2 linked regions of the Oreochromis niloticus genome follow. The main gene of each other region encodes a partner of the protein of the gene in region 2 in a complex. Links are inferred from orthologs where the notes say so. Each region holds a gene or a part of one and is shown on either strand. Other genes may lie near its edges.

Evidence for each region.
Region 1: the proteins of gpsm2 (region 2) and insc are in contact, whole or in part, in a crystal structure (PDB 3RO3), measured with the Mus musculus proteins. The link is inferred for Oreochromis niloticus from reciprocal best matches to the Homo sapiens genes GPSM2 and INSC. Residues at the interface, in NP_083798.2 of Mus musculus: Asn210, Tyr213, Leu214, Phe218, Arg242, Ser246, Asn247, Asn250, Ile253, Phe254, Tyr265, Gln283, Tyr286, Ser287, Asn290, Thr291, Thr293, Leu294, Arg323, Trp326, Ser327, Asn330; in XP_006507722.1 of Mus musculus: Val72, Asp73, Ser74, Val75, Arg77, Trp78, Met79, Asp81, Leu82, Lys83, Leu84, Met85, Thr86, Glu87.

Annotation. Positions count from the first base shown.
Region 1 is NC_031972.2:42,885,564-42,893,119, reverse strand, and holds the start of insc (protein inscuteable homolog), read right to left. Parts: upstream 3,208-7,556; 5' UTR 2,945-3,207; intron 1-2,944. UniProt on the Homo sapiens protein: May function as an adapter linking the Par3 complex to the GPSM1/GPSM2 complex. Involved in spindle orientation during mitosis. May regulate cell proliferation and differentiation in the developing nervous system.
Region 2 is NC_031982.2:13,949,845-13,957,593, forward strand, and holds the start of gpsm2 (G-protein-signaling modulator 2), read left to right. Parts: upstream 1-4,551; 5' UTR 4,552-4,741; intron 4,742-5,479; 5' UTR 5,480-5,518; intron 5,519-7,192; 5' UTR 7,193-7,261; intron 7,262-7,749. Other genes in the region: protein AKNAD1, read right to left, coding at 709-820, 920-994, 1,134-2,218, 2,548-2,752. UniProt on the Homo sapiens protein: Plays an important role in mitotic spindle pole organization via its interaction with NUMA1. Required for cortical dynein-dynactin complex recruitment during metaphase. Plays a role in metaphase spindle orientation.

The sequences.
Region 1 (7,556 bases), on a different chromosome or scaffold from region 2:
AGAAAGAAGCTGATCGTAGAGAATGACTGGACCAAGTCCACTTTCAGGCATGTAATATAGTCTTGAAAGAGAATGACTTGGTTGTCAGCAACTTTAAGGAGCCTTTAATTATAGGAGCAAATATACTGAAAGGGTTTGACAGTTTTTGATAGATGAAAGAAGTTCTCATGTTCAGTATAAAAAACCACTTCAGCATCACAGACACGGTTCTGACTGCATAATGCTTTGGCAATGAGCTCTCAAAAGCCAGACTTCCGTGGAGTCAAGTGCAGCTTCATGTTTCCAGATTTAGTAGCAGCCACACCCTCAGTGACAGTAACTGTTCATCTAGACTGGCACTCTTTTAATGTGACAGGACAATGTGTGGGGGTGAGACTGTGGAGAGACGACATTTTTTACAGCGGAAACCCTGATATTCCACACCCGAAAACCTAATTAAACAGCGTGGCAGCACAGTGAGGGCCACACCTGCATGTGCGGTTCATGCTGACCACAACACGCCCTCCTAAGCTGTTCATCAGACAGGCAAGAGGAGAATCATGGCAGATTTATCCCTAAGCAACCATGTACTGTATTATTAGAAGAAGTGCTAAACAGATATTAAGGGAAACAGCAGTCGTAACCTGTCATCTGAGAATAAACGTTTGATAATGTTCTGCTTAAATATAAAATGAGGAAGAGGAAGGTCTGAGCTCTGTTTAGACTGCAGCCTCTCCGAATAGATAAATTTTAAATGTAAAAATGGCAGTCAACTTAAATTAATGTAATTAAATTCATCTCCAGTAAGAGAATTTATGAGGCCCAAACCACAGGAAAGAATTGTTGCACATTGTCTCATTTTGTCTACTTGTATTTAGATACTTTAAGTACACAGTGTACACCATGCACTTATTTAATTCAACATGGGGGGAATGATGCTACTAGCTAGCTAGCGAGACCTGGCATCGCCATGTTTCTGAAAACTGATGAGCAATCTCTTCCTTTCTGTTACAATTACAGATTGTAGGCAACCAACTTTTGGACTTTTTTCATTTAGGTACTTGTGCACTGCAGTAGAGTACTTATTAGTATCAACACACTTAAGCTTAGCAATGAAAATGAGGTGGGAGCCAAGCTAGTCATAAACATTAGCTAAAAAAAACACGTGCTTAGTATGTTCATCAGGCTATAACCTGATGAGAACGTCTTTCATTCTGTTAAATTTAAATATGAGTTTATAGTTTTTCAGTACTTTTTCTTAATGCTTGACATTGATCTTTAACATCGTGACAGTCCTAATGAACACATTGGGTTATAGCCTACATTACGGAAGCTGAAATCATTCTTTAAAATGAATAATCATGTAGCTGTCTCAGTCTATAGTCTGTGGATAAGAACTTATTAAAAAATCTGCACCTCAGCTTTGACTTCATATTAATGTTTACTCTCCAATGACAAACAGCTTAGGTTCGATCATCATCCACAAATACTGCTGGCCTATTTTAAGCTGAATAGTCAACTTGTGTCATGGTTTATAAAACTGGGTGTTTATCGTTTGCTTGGAGCATAAATTAAGAGTGCACCATTACAACACTGCATTATCATAATGTATTGAATCTACAGAGATTCACCGTTAGGTCTTGTGTGCTGTTGTTTTGCACATAATTACACAGGGATTTGCTTGGACATGAAATGCTTCTGATTCAGATTGAATATTGCTGGTCAGTGGTCTTTTTTTCTACTCATACATTTCTACTGAGAACACAGGTAACATCTCCTAAAATGGATATGGTGAACAGACCAGCGTGGTAGCGCCTATAAACTCTCAGGGTTCATATGAAAAAACATGACACATCTCTCATGTAGTCACTAATTGCCTTTGTCATGCATACACACATTGCTCACAACCACATCACAAACAGACAGAAGCCTGTAGTAAAGGCATGTGTCCTCATCATTACCACCGGCCTCATTGTAATCTTTGTTGTTTTGCAGAGTCTGAGCTTCCATCATTCCCACACGAACCAGGTCAGCCTATTCTAAACAGTTATAGCAGAAAGTTGGAGTTGAACACGGTGGAGTTCAACTCCAATGTGACTCAAACACAAACGCGCAGAATACCTCGCATCTGAGAAAACTTTGCTGTATCCCAAAAGGACCATTCATACTTAATTCGATTATAACAAAAGCATTTAGAAGACGGGGTAAAGTGTACGAGTCAGTCAGCTATGATGATGGTTTTAACTGTTATTTGAAAGAGAGGAGTTTTTCTTTGGTTATGTTGATGATTCATTTTGTAGCGCATGTATGAAGGCTGATTCAGCAAAAAAGTTCTATCCTGTAGATTCTTTTTATGACTAAGTAGCACTATAAAATAATATGATGTTAAAACTGAAGAAAATAGTGCAGAATTTAGCAGCTAAAGCTATCAGCTTGGTAGAGACCAAAAACAGAGCAAAAGGGGAGCAAACACTGGACTTACCAAAATTCCAATAACATTCATTTTAAGTTCCAAGGTAATGAAAAACCTACAGCAGGAAGCGCATATGCTGACGACTTGTGAGTATTATGTATTGATCATTAATAACCATATTCAAAAGTATTTACACTTTTGTAGGACTTCTAGAGATCCGAACTTAATTTTGTGTCCTTTTCCTATCTGACACTTTGAGCTTGGTTGCTTTTCACGTCTCCTGTGCTTATGAGATTTAAATAATTCACATCCCTAATGAGTTTCCAGCTGCACCTTACTCAACACGGCAACAGCATCGCCAACTGGAAAAGTCTGTGAGCGCTTGGAAAAAACCAGATGATCTGCCACAGATGCCCTGCATTCTCTTTTAAGTTTTGTATTTGAATGCTTCACAGCTAAGTCATGCAAGCTAAAGTTTCCCAAAGTTCCTTGACAGAAGCGTTTCACTATTCCCAGAATTTGAGATCAGACTGAACTCTTTGCAAAACTTACCCATTCTCTTTGTCAGCAACTGAAAGCTTTAAGCGTGTCCAGTCGGGTTCATAGTTACAGCTCGTAGTACTTCTCAGCACACTCTCTCTGTGTGTCTTCACTTTCATTCACGCTGACTTAGTCTCTGTCTTCCTTCTCGGAGCCCAGCTGGACCAACCACCTCTGAAGCCTGCTGCAGTAAGACTGCTCAGAGTGTAAACGTGACTGGCCTTAAAGGTTTTTCTTGAGGAGAACAAACCCACATCCCACTGTCAGTCAAGCAGCTGAGCATAGTTTCAGCTGGGCTGCCATCCAAACAGACATGAAACTAGTCTATTTTGGTCTGCCATATGAGCAGTGGTGCTTTTCAGAGAGAGGAGGTGGGGGGGATTCTGTGGTGGAGCATGTAATTGCAGAGTGACCAGTTATGGTGGGATGTAATTGTAGACCTCATCAGATATAGAGAAACTGCCAACAAGACAAGGTAAAGGACTTTAAAATAAGGCTCTTGGAAAAAAAAAAGAGAAACACAACAGACCACATAAATAAATGAGGAGCTGGGTTCCAGATGTGGCAGCACAGGGAGGGAGGGGAGGAGAAGTACAAGGGGGAGAAAGAAAGAAAGCCAGTTGAAGGAACTGCCATCGCAGCAGAAAGAAATCTCATTTCTGACGCAGTGAAAGGGTGTTTACCTTCTCAGGAGCAGTCTCACAAGACGGTATGGGGGGATTGGGGAAGGTGAAAGGATGTTGGGCCCAGCCTTATGTTGTTTCTGGACCGTTACCATGAGTACTCATGGGTGTCTGGTTTCACGTCAGCCTTGGAAATGACTACCTTATGGAAAAACTCGAGGCTTTAAAAATGAGGAAGGAAAATGAAAATATAAACGGCTGTCGGCTGGTTCCCATTACAACTGAGACTCAGCTGGTCTGGGTTGTTGCCACTAGTGTTGCTACGTATTCTTGAGTGACTAATTATTATGTGACTTTATGAAGCGGGTACCACTACACACGCACTCCCATGCCCACAACACAGGCCTGTTATACTTTAGGGTGTTGATAAATATTAGCTTTAGTTGAAATCTGAACATAAACACCTAATTTCCTCAGAAATCTTACCTCATTTCCTGGCAAAACCATCAGGAGAGTCAAAAGCAGACTGAGAGTCACATTGCGATGTGTGAAGGTAATCCTCAGCCAGACACAATTTAATTGTAAATATAGTCAAAATCACATCAGAGCCATTATTTTAAACTTCCTTCATTTTTTTCTGATATATGTACCTAAAGATTTAAATATTTCTAAGTGATTACTGTTGATGTTATGATGCTATTGCTACATACGTGCAGGAAATCACATTACTATATTAAAAAAAAAGACATCAATGATAATACTAAAAAAAGAATTCAATGTGACAAAAATGAAACAGTAAATTGTATTTTCTTTATATTTATTTTCTTTGTTTTTTTTAAATATTGAGTTTGTGGTGCAGTCAGAAAATGTGTGTCTTTTGTTATTTGCCGTGTTGAAACCCATTTTAAAATACTTCACATAATTTTGAGTACAATTGTTTTTTTTTATTATTATTTATGTGGACATAGTACATGAGTAGCATATTACATTATATAATATAACAGTTATAACCTGCTACTGTATTGTTCATAACAAAGTCAAAATAAAATAATGAAAATAATGAGATATTTAGAAAGCCCTCAGTACAATCAACAGCAGTAAGAAACAGTTTTAAATAACTCTGCATTATTAAAACTTCTACGCACTTTGAATAAGAGGTCAAAGGTCAAATGTAATATGATTTTTTTTAAAATCCTTATACGGTACTTTCTATATGTTGATAGTACACGGGAATCATAGTTTCTAATTTCTAAGACTTTTTGTCAATTTTTTGACCGATAAATCATTAAGCTGACCTTGAAGACCTTGGTGGATATAAGGCAAATTATGATGAATTGTTAACATGACCCCACTCTGCACCCCTACTTAGTTTTCATTCAAAACTTTTAAAGATATCATGTTTACAGAGAGAATCCTACCAAAAACCTAACCTCGTTGGTGGTGGAAATATAGTTCTGCCAGGCAGCTACATTTTTCTGGTTGCTTGTATGTGCTGACAAAGTTTTATTAAACATTGTTAAGAAATAACAAGGATTAAAAGATACATTGAAATATGACTCATTTTCCACAAATTTCAAACTATTCCAATAAATCGTTCAAGCGAAGCATCGTCCAAAACCCCAGGTTTTGAAATTGGTTTGTGGTGTAGATTTCTTGGAATTGGACGAGCAGTGCATCCTCTCTTTGGAGTAGAGGGCCAAATGATTGGTTTTCTTATATGAACTGTCTAATTTCCAATTGCAAGGGCCCCATTAAAAAGCAGCTGCATACCATTATGACTGTTATTCTCATTGGCATAGTGAGATTGTAAGATTATTGCTGAGAAAAAAGCCCCAAAACCAAACCAACCCCACAAATCAACCCTCAACCTATCACCCCCCTCAATTATCAGAATATAGGGTTTATTTTTTTCCTTATCTGTCATGCAGGAAAAGTTTCCATGTGGATTCCAGCATGGATTCAACTTCAGCAGCGATTTCCTCAGGCATATAAGCAGACAGATAGTGAGAGCAAGAAAGAATAAGTGGAAAGACTGTAAAAACAACTGACAGACGAGGGTTTGAAGGCTCGAGAAGGAATGAAGCACAAATCTCCTTTTCTGTTTATACTCCCATAGCATAAGTTCACATATTAGTCAGACATATCCTGTCATCGGGGAAATAATAAGTCATCCAGTTGAGCGGCTAGAATCAAGACCAAACATTTATTTCTCTAAATGTCTACAGCACTGATCTAGCGTGCCTGATGTTGATCGGTTGCCATTTTTCCTCGCAGAGTCGATGTAATTCATAGAAACTAAATACGATGTTTGACAAAAGTACATTTGCTTTCATGGTACTGACAACTCTTGCGTGCACGATGCACTCAGATATCTTGCATTTGCTCTGGTGCACACTTGGCATTCATCCGTGCAGCCAAATAGGATCAACCATATCCTGTTTTTCACTTTCACCCTTATTGAACGGGCTCATTATCCCCTCAGTTTCCTGACTTGCAATCCCGTATTTGCTATCCAAAACTGTAGGGCCTTTATTTATCCCTCCTTCAAGTATTTTGTTTTTAGTTCTCCGTCTGTGATTTTGCTTGGAAACCCTTCACATCAAATGGTTTGAAACTACTGGCAGTACACTCAAAGTGTGCTATTCCTGGGAAAATACAGCATAAAATGGTAATAATGTATTTGTATGATATTTATCTTTTCCAGTTTGTGCAATTAATGTGATTAAATATTTGATTTCCTGTTACATAATTTTCCAAATACAGCTAGAGTCATTTTTTTGTTGCTTACTAATGATGTGCACTTTTCTTTGAGCCTTTTATGTAGTTTGTACTCTTCTCAGTCTTACAAATGACCACTCAAGAATTAAATAGTCTTCGATTTACTCTTGGATTATATGTTTCTCTTCATCATAGACCTACATGAGAGTTCAGCAGGTCTTTATCTTCGTAACAAAACAAACAAGAGTTCAAACACAAAACCCATATAATCATTTTATTACTTGTGCCTTTTCATTTTGCTTTTCACTCTTTTCTAGGTTCAGATATTCTTCCTCATTTGGTTAATTGTTTGGGAAAATGAAAGAAAAAAAAAGCTTAATCAAGGAGTTAACTTATATGGAGATGACTATTTCAGTGTTTCCATCACTTGAGGCAGATCTGTGAGACTCACTGAAACTTTGGTAATTATGTTGCCATCTATTGGAGTTCTGCTGCAAAAACAAGTGAGCCGCAAAATGTTCAATCATGCAGCTATTAATGTTTCACAATTAAAAAAACAATGTGTGCAAAGGTACAAGCTGAATCTCTTAGATAACATTTACGGCCAAGCCTTTCTTGTAAAATCAAGACTTGGCTTTTGTGTGCTGAAATAAGTGGTGAACATTTACCTTCACTGAAGCTAAAGAACAACTCTGACGGCAGGTTTGGCTGCATTTTATTAAGCAATTCCCCATGCACTGTTTTTTTCTTGTATCAACATGTATTGTAACATATCCATGCCACTGCGGTGTCATCAGAAATATTTCCAATGAAACTGATGTGTTCACACATTCAGCTGTGCAACAGGAGTGTGTATGACTGTGGATTCCGTTTTTCTTTCCAATACTTTGCCAAATTATAAACGTGTGCTACATGTTTTCACGACGTGATTGTGCATTCGTCAGTGGGAAATAGTGTCAGATTTCTAATCAGCGACTTACAAAGAGCTCTCTGCCTGTGAGATTCCATCATTCGTAATTTGTGGACAGTATTTATCAGTATTAATAATACAAATATAAACTTCTCCTTATATAATCAACTTCACAGTCACTCAGCGTCCTTCTACACTTGCTTAAAAACCTTTGAAGAACAACACAAGTACCCCAAACCCGAGTGTATCTAAAATACATTTTAATCTTGCTGAAACTTGTTTTCACAATATTGTTTACAATATTAATTGGTCTTCATTTTCTGCATCCTCGCTCGGGTCTTCTTTATTGTCTCTAAACAGAAACTGTACAATC
Region 2 (7,749 bases):
GATTCACTGTCCAAGTCCCCGTCAGTGATGCTCCGCAGGCTCAGATGCTACTGTAGCTGTCTACAGCAGTGCAAGTTAAACCACACTGGCAGCTGGAGGACAACAACAGTGTCCGTAAACAGCTTCAATCACCACAGCAAGGCTGAGCAGCTGCAGCCGTGCTCACAGCCAGCAGCTGGTTACTCTAACAGAATGGCCTTTTAAAATGAATAAAAAGCGCAAACACATCATGGCACATTTCATTTCTGTAGTATTAACCCTTAACTGTCTGCGTCTTATAGCTGGACAGGAGCCACACACCGACTGTATGGAGGGATCACAATGAATGTGAAGCATTTTCCTCTTCTATGTATGCAAAATATTTGTGAGGCACCACAAAACTAAGACAAAATACTGGATTCAATAAAATACTCAATCTATTTTCCAGCTAAAATGACAAAAAACTGGAGAGCAGCTGCCGGCCTGAGCACAACATGCCTTTAACGTAGTGTTTAACTCGACTTTCTGATCATTCGGTGTTTAAATAAAGATACACAGGCCTGGTTTGTCATAAATATTCAGTTACTTTTTCAATTTCATTAAAAAGTTTCATTAAAAAATGTGGCATCTAAACTGATCACTCTCTGAGGAATCCAGTCAGACTTTATCTTCATGTAGTAGAAGGAAGTTAACCTTTCATGATATCAGATGTCGGACACGGAGCCGTACCTGATGAGGGAAGATGAGGAGCTTTGTATCCAAGATGGCTCAGCTCAGCTAACTGCCCCTGATCTTCATCATCATCCTCTAAATAAGGCATGAGTTCTGAGGAGGGATGATTCTGTGAAAAGCAATAAATACCTTTGTATCTTACATTTGAAATGTAACTAATTAACACAGGCCTGTGTGAATTACACCAGGAAGAAACCTTAGAACTTACACTGGTTCCTAGTCTCATCTGATCAATGAGGTTCTCTGCCTCTGCGTATTTGGTGAGTAATTTATCATATTCAGCCTAAAGAAAATAGAGAGGATGGATGTTACAGCTCTATCTAAGAAAACAGTAATGCAATGATGACAGAAAATATCAGCTAAAGAAAATGAAAGTCTAACGTTCATTTGCAATGCAAAGATATGATCTGAATGCTTTCTACCTGCAGATGGTGCACCAGTGCAGGAGGAGTGTGCTTTTCTTCATCTTTAAAGACATTAGCTTTCCCGGCTGGCAGGACTGAGTCCTCCAAGACTCTGCTGATCACCTCTAACATGCCTGGGGAAGACTGAGCTCTGTGAATGGTGCTAGGGCACTGAGGAAGTGATCTGGCTGGGGTTTTGGGGATTTTCACTTTAGGGGCAACCTTGGAGAAGTCAGGGAGCGGGTAATGGACTTGGCCTTGGCCATACTTCATCTCGCTGAAGGATCTTGTACGCACCAGAGGAACTCTCTGAACCTGCTCTTCCTCCTCATCTGCTTTGTCCTGCTTTACTTCATCTGCACTGAAATCCTCACTGCTCTGCTTAGAATCTGTACTTTCAGAGTTGGATGTGCTGTTTGCATAAGCACCAGATGTGAAAGTAGGAGTCTTCTTTTGTATCTGCTCTTCTGAACTTGCTTTTTTTGATGCAGCATTACTCTTTTCATCTGAGCTCTCTGTGTGGTTATTATTCACTGCTTTGCTGTTGTGTGTTGGAGCCCAGCTAAAAACACTGTCGTCTGCACTCTCCAACAGGGACACCTCTGGCAGGGTCTCTGCCTCGATCAGCCTACCCAGCCGCAGCAATTCCTCCTGGGAGAAGTGCCGCAGCAATAACTGGTTAATGTCTGCAGCACCAGGATGCGGTCCACCAAGCTCACTTTGCTTGAAAGCATCAAAAACGTTGTCCTGCTTTGTGCTGATATCGTCTTGCAATAATTCAAGCTGACCAGAAAGATCAGGACTTGTATGAACAGTGTGTCCTCCATCAGAGCTAATGTTTCCCTCAGAGGAATCTTTCTTGTTGAAGTAAGGGCTTCCAATGTTCCCATCATATGGCAAGTCCTCCTGATCCTCATCACTGGTATTTTGTCCAGTGTCCTCACTTCCCTGGTTTATGGGCAGCTCATCTTGGATGGTTTTTGATCTTTGGGAAGACACATGTAAGAGGTTTCTCTTGGAACTGCTCTCTAGAACCCTCCCGCTCTGACTGCCCACACTGCTCTCTGAGGAGGAGTCATCCAACCCAGACAGCTCCGCGTCCCCTGCAAATTAAAAACCCAAATACCATGAAAACCTAATTACAGGGTCATGTTGATTCCATTAAATTAGCTTGTTGTGATTTTTAAGGCTAATGATGAGAGTGAAAACTAGCTCATGACTTTGCAAAAAATATATGTCATTGCATTTGTTTTGTCACACCTGAAGTGAGCAAAAAAACATAGCAGATGTTTAACATCCTGCATGCCAACATATTTATAATGATGTATTATTAAAAAATTTGTTTTATCTAAACTTTTCATCACATACGCAGTAATTCACCGTAGTATACAAGAAACCTGACACAATAAACAACAGTGCTTGCATGTCTTACCACTAAGATGGATGCTTGCTTCAGAGGCAGCAGACTCTGCCTGGGACAGATGCAAGGCCAAAGAACTCTCCAGATCACTGAAGTGGAGACTTTCATCCTCACTGAGATCAACAAAGAAGCTCTGCTCGATGCATTTTTCCCACAGCACTACGGATCTGTCCTCCCCCTGAACATCCTCATCCGACTCTCCCAGGTCTCCCTCCATGGACTCTGCAACAGAAAAATGGATGCACTGTTCAATATCTCCTCACCTCTGTTAAGAAAAAAGGAGGGTGAGAAAACTGAACGAAGCACCATTCATCTCTTAGCAACGCAACCTACAGAGTGACAACACTGGATCAAAAAGCACTAAGGTGTCAATTATTCAACAATCAATACAATGTGTGCACAGAAGATTGCGTGCCGCAAGGGTGTAAAGTTTTTGAGTTAATTATGTGCTTGGATGAAACGCATTGTGTCTGTTTTGAGTGTCTGACAGCAGCAGAAGGCTTATGAATAAATATATAGATAAATATTTTTTAAAAAGTAATTCATCTATTTCATTCAGAAATAAATAATTTGTTTTAAATGGGTTCTTCCTTCATAGAATAGAAATAATCCTTAGTTTTAGTATCTGTGACTTTGCTAAAAATTTAGACACAATGTGACTGATGAGGCACTGATGGACGTGAATACTAAGATTTTTAGATGTGCACAAGACTGTCAGTCAACTGCTTTCTAAAAGCTGTGTTTTCAATATAAAACCTGTACTGATTTTCCTAAATCTTACATCTGACACATGCCCTCCATACAATAATAATAATTTAAAAGACTAAATCTAACACTGAAACTATTAAAAGCTAAACTATATAAATACACTCTGTGAACTAAACTGAATTAAAAACACAAAATCAAATTAAATAAAACCCCAATTAGAAAATACAATATCATAACGACTCTGCTGTGTAGCCCCTGACCCTCTGAACCAAGAAAAAACCACTATGCTAAAAGAAAAGTGTCTGTGTCATAATATAAAACTATTATCTATACAAAAACAAATTGTAAAATACATTTTGCAACACATAGGAATCTGTTAATATTGCACATCATTAATATAGAGTTAATTATACCTATATAATAGCCTGATATGATATTTCAATAGATCATAAGTTTTTGCATGTATGTTAACAAAATCTGTCATGTGATATATGTATTCAGGTACTTGTTACCATAACCGTAATAACTACATTTCATAAGAGCGGTGGAGCAAAAGTATATAAAGTACATATATCTCCTACTACAAGTTACATGTGAGTGTTACCAAACACGTTTAAGCTTCTGTACTGTTTCTGCATGTAAGTCTGAGCTGCATTTCAGTGACATAGTGCCACTGAAATGCTTTGCTGGCGGTGGTCACTTACCTTGGTTGTGTTTAGCCAGCTGGTTCTTCTTCAGCAGTGTGCCATTACCTTTAAGTTGATCCCGGTCTTGAAACTAGCAGCGATGGTTTAATATCTCCCCCCTTCTTTCTTGACATATGCCTTCCTGAACAGGTTTCGTTTTTGTGGCATCATTAATAATGGATACAAGGCAGCGCTGAACGTCTGGACCCGCGGTGACAGCAGCGTGCATGACACTAGCGGGGTCTCGTTGCTAGGTAACGGTGCTGAAACGTCCTCCAAAAGGCTGCTAGCAAGTGACAGTTTTGGGCTATTGGCCATTACATACTTATTCTCTCTTTAAAAATAAGTATGGGAATGTGTAGACTTTCACCTTCCTAAATAATGTGTATTAACACAGTGCCGAAGCCCCACAAGTGTGCAAGGCGTGTCAAACTTTCAAACATAATAAAGCTCGTGCTTGTCTCAGCTACGTTATCACAAAAACGTCACCCTTCACCATTCAAATCGGTTCGTCCAATGAATTTTATGCAGGGGCGTGACTAAATTTGAATGCCGCTCTCTGATTGGCTACTTGGCGAAAACACATAAAGCTAGTGCACCCGCAAGGGGTTTCTTCGTATTTATCGAAGTTAAATCGAAGTTTTTACCGAAGTTGGAGGATAATGTAGCCGTAGGCTGAATATAGTACAGCTTGTTGTTATATTACAGGCGTCCACTTTTTTTCTCCCCCGTAAACGCACCCATGTTTTTAATCTCGTGAGACACTAAAGAAAAGAAGACAAGTCACCTCTGTTCGAGCTGGATCGCCTAACGTAAGTTTAGCAGCTAACAGGCTAACGGTGCTAGTCTTTAGCTGGATGTTGGTGGTGATGTGTGAATGAATTAACTGGTTATGAATAAAGCTAAAGAGACAGCCATAAGATTAACTAATCTGGGACACCATAGCTCTGACAGTGGTGTCCATAATGCGAAGTAATTTCTTCACTTTAAAGTAGTTATCACTGGAGCTGATATTAAAAATCTATAGATGAATTGTCACCATTAGTGTAGTGTAGGGCATAGCTTTACTGTTTGGTATATAGTATATAGTTTGGTATAGGCTATAGTGTATTGCTAACAAGTGTTATACTTGTGCAGTTGGTTTATATTGCATGATTATGACCACTTTTATCGTACGTAATTCATTTCTTACCGTAGTTGCACTCATGTTAGTGTAGTAATGGTCATGAGAGCATGCACTCAAACGCACAGTCTTGTATACCTCTACATCTGATTGTATTGTTATTACTATACGGTGTACACAATATACCCAGTTGCCAGCATATTAGCTCCACTTAACTGTAACTAGTGCAACCGGCTTTTTGTTTATTTAGTCTATCCTTTAGGTAGGTGTAGCTGTGTGTATGTCATCAAGTGTAATGTAATTCAATATTTAATGTAGTCTGTATTAAGCCCTGTTTTAATATAAAAAAAACCCCTGAATAGCCAGCATTGCAACACATGTTTATGAACTTTGAGGTTATTTATGGTTGTAACATTGTTTCTTCCAGGCTTCCCAGATTTCCTGTTCCTGTGTGGAAGAATTACCGGTCAGTATCCCAGTACTTAACTTTTGTTTTGGTGTGGGGTTTTTTTGCTGCCTCATGGTGTGATGCCAAGTGGTGCTTCCATATTTAGGTTTTGTTGTCAGAGGCAGTAGTCATTTTAGAGCATCAAAACATAGAAAATAGCTCATATCGGTTGTGTGTTAAGGATGAAATCATGTTCTTGTTTGTGACTCAAAAAGGAGTCGGCGATTAGCTCCCGTGAAGCTGTCATTAAAAACGGCATCTTTATTTTTCTTTCTTTGGACCTTTATGCATCAGTAACTTTTCTCTGTTTCACTTTTGTTCATGCACACTGTAGTTTTATGAGCCAGACAGAGTTCTCAGAAACACACCCAGATGGCATATGGTGTTGGAAAAAGCTGCAAGGATGTTGGCACACAACAGTCGATCATTATATTAATGTGCAGGAACATGTACGGTAAAGCTCCCAAAGCTCTGGGCATTAATCACAACCATTTACAATCATTTACAGAGCAGCAGGAATAACAGGATTGTCAAAAAGTTGACTCCACCAACTATGTATATATATATATATATATATATATATACATACATATATATGTGTGTGTGTGTGTGTGTGTATATACACATACAACATACAGGTTGTATGTGTATATGTACACACTCAGGGCAGAGTTTGAGAGAGATTTGCTGTTATTCAAATGTCATTAAAAACTGCAAAAAATTGAAATCTCTCAAAAACTTGTTTAAAAATAAAAATTATATTGTTATTATGTTGTTATTTAGTAGACAAATAACAAACAAACAAAATTTGCTATTGTACACTCAAATTACAGTTTATATAAAAAACAATATATAATTATTGTCCTTCACTATTTTTTTCAGGTTTTTTGCAAAATAGTAAATTTGAATATTCTTGGATAATAACAAAAAGTACATTTTAGCTAGAAAAGCTAAAAAAAAAGAAAAAAAAAGACTTTGCACATAGTAGTGGATTTAATATAATAGAAATATAAAAATGTTTTGGTAACTAACAATTTAATTAAGGGCAGTGTGGCATGAACCTTCCATTGGGTTGTGGTTGGATACGTTTGTTAAGCACTGTATGTGCAGCATAGATTTTTTCAGTTTCTACTGCGTTGTGCCTTAGAGATTTTTGTCTTTAATCTCAAATGAAAATTGAATTGAAGTGATGTTTCTTGTTATCAAAGCACCTTTTTGTGCTGCTGTGGGTCTAATGATTAACTCTAATACTTAACAAGAGGAACAGTTTATTAATCAAAGTTCCTGATATTAGGTTTTTGTGAATATTGGCTTTCTTGTTATGTATGGATTTGTAAATTTAGTAAGCAATATTACCTAATATAATATAATGTTTCATTGACTGTAAAATAGCACTCATCAATCACATAATCTAATTATAATCATGACCATTCTCAGTTGTTACTACCATCCTGATCACTTCTTCATTTTGGGGTTTTTAATTTGAGCCAGCTTATCTTTGATGTAGCTGAACAAATGCTCTGTTGGAAACAAATAATCACTCATTATGGCTCATTAGGCCACCTACTGCATGTCTGTCTTGTAATTTAGTTGCTATTTAACATAAAGATGTAACCCAGTTTGCAAATAACTGGCCTGCCCCATTTCCCATATTGTGGTTGTGTGTGTCTGTGTGTGTGTGCGCGCGTTCAGGGGAGGAGCTGACGGTTTAAACTTGGGGAACTAATGGGTGTGGCAAGAATAACCTCATGCTGAAATTAGGTAATGGCTGGTTTAGATTTTTACTTGAAGCAGTCTCTACTTTCCATGTAGCACGCTTATTGCTGTCCTTTCCTTTGGTGGAAGTAGCGTACATGCAGCAAGTCTCTCTGCTTTTTCCCAGATTCTCAGTTTACCTTGTTTTTGGGGGGAGATTTTTTGTTTGTTTGTTTGTTTTTTTTGTTTTAAACCAATCATGCAGCAGGTTTCTGGTTGCTTTTTCTTTCTTTTCAGCTACTTCCTAGGCCATGATTTCCATTCACACACACTGTAGATATTTTTTCCTCCTGCTTTGCTATACCTGTGGAGCACACAACCTCTCCAAGCCTGGGTGAAGTCCCCGTCCATCCTAGAAGATTGACAGTTTGGCTGGCCCTGTGCATTCATTTCCGCCCCGCTCTCCCGCTTCTTGCTTACCCCGCTTGTTCACGCTGCTGTTTGGTTGGTGTTGCCATGGCACCGTGCAGCCAGAAAGAGGCTTCACATGCAGC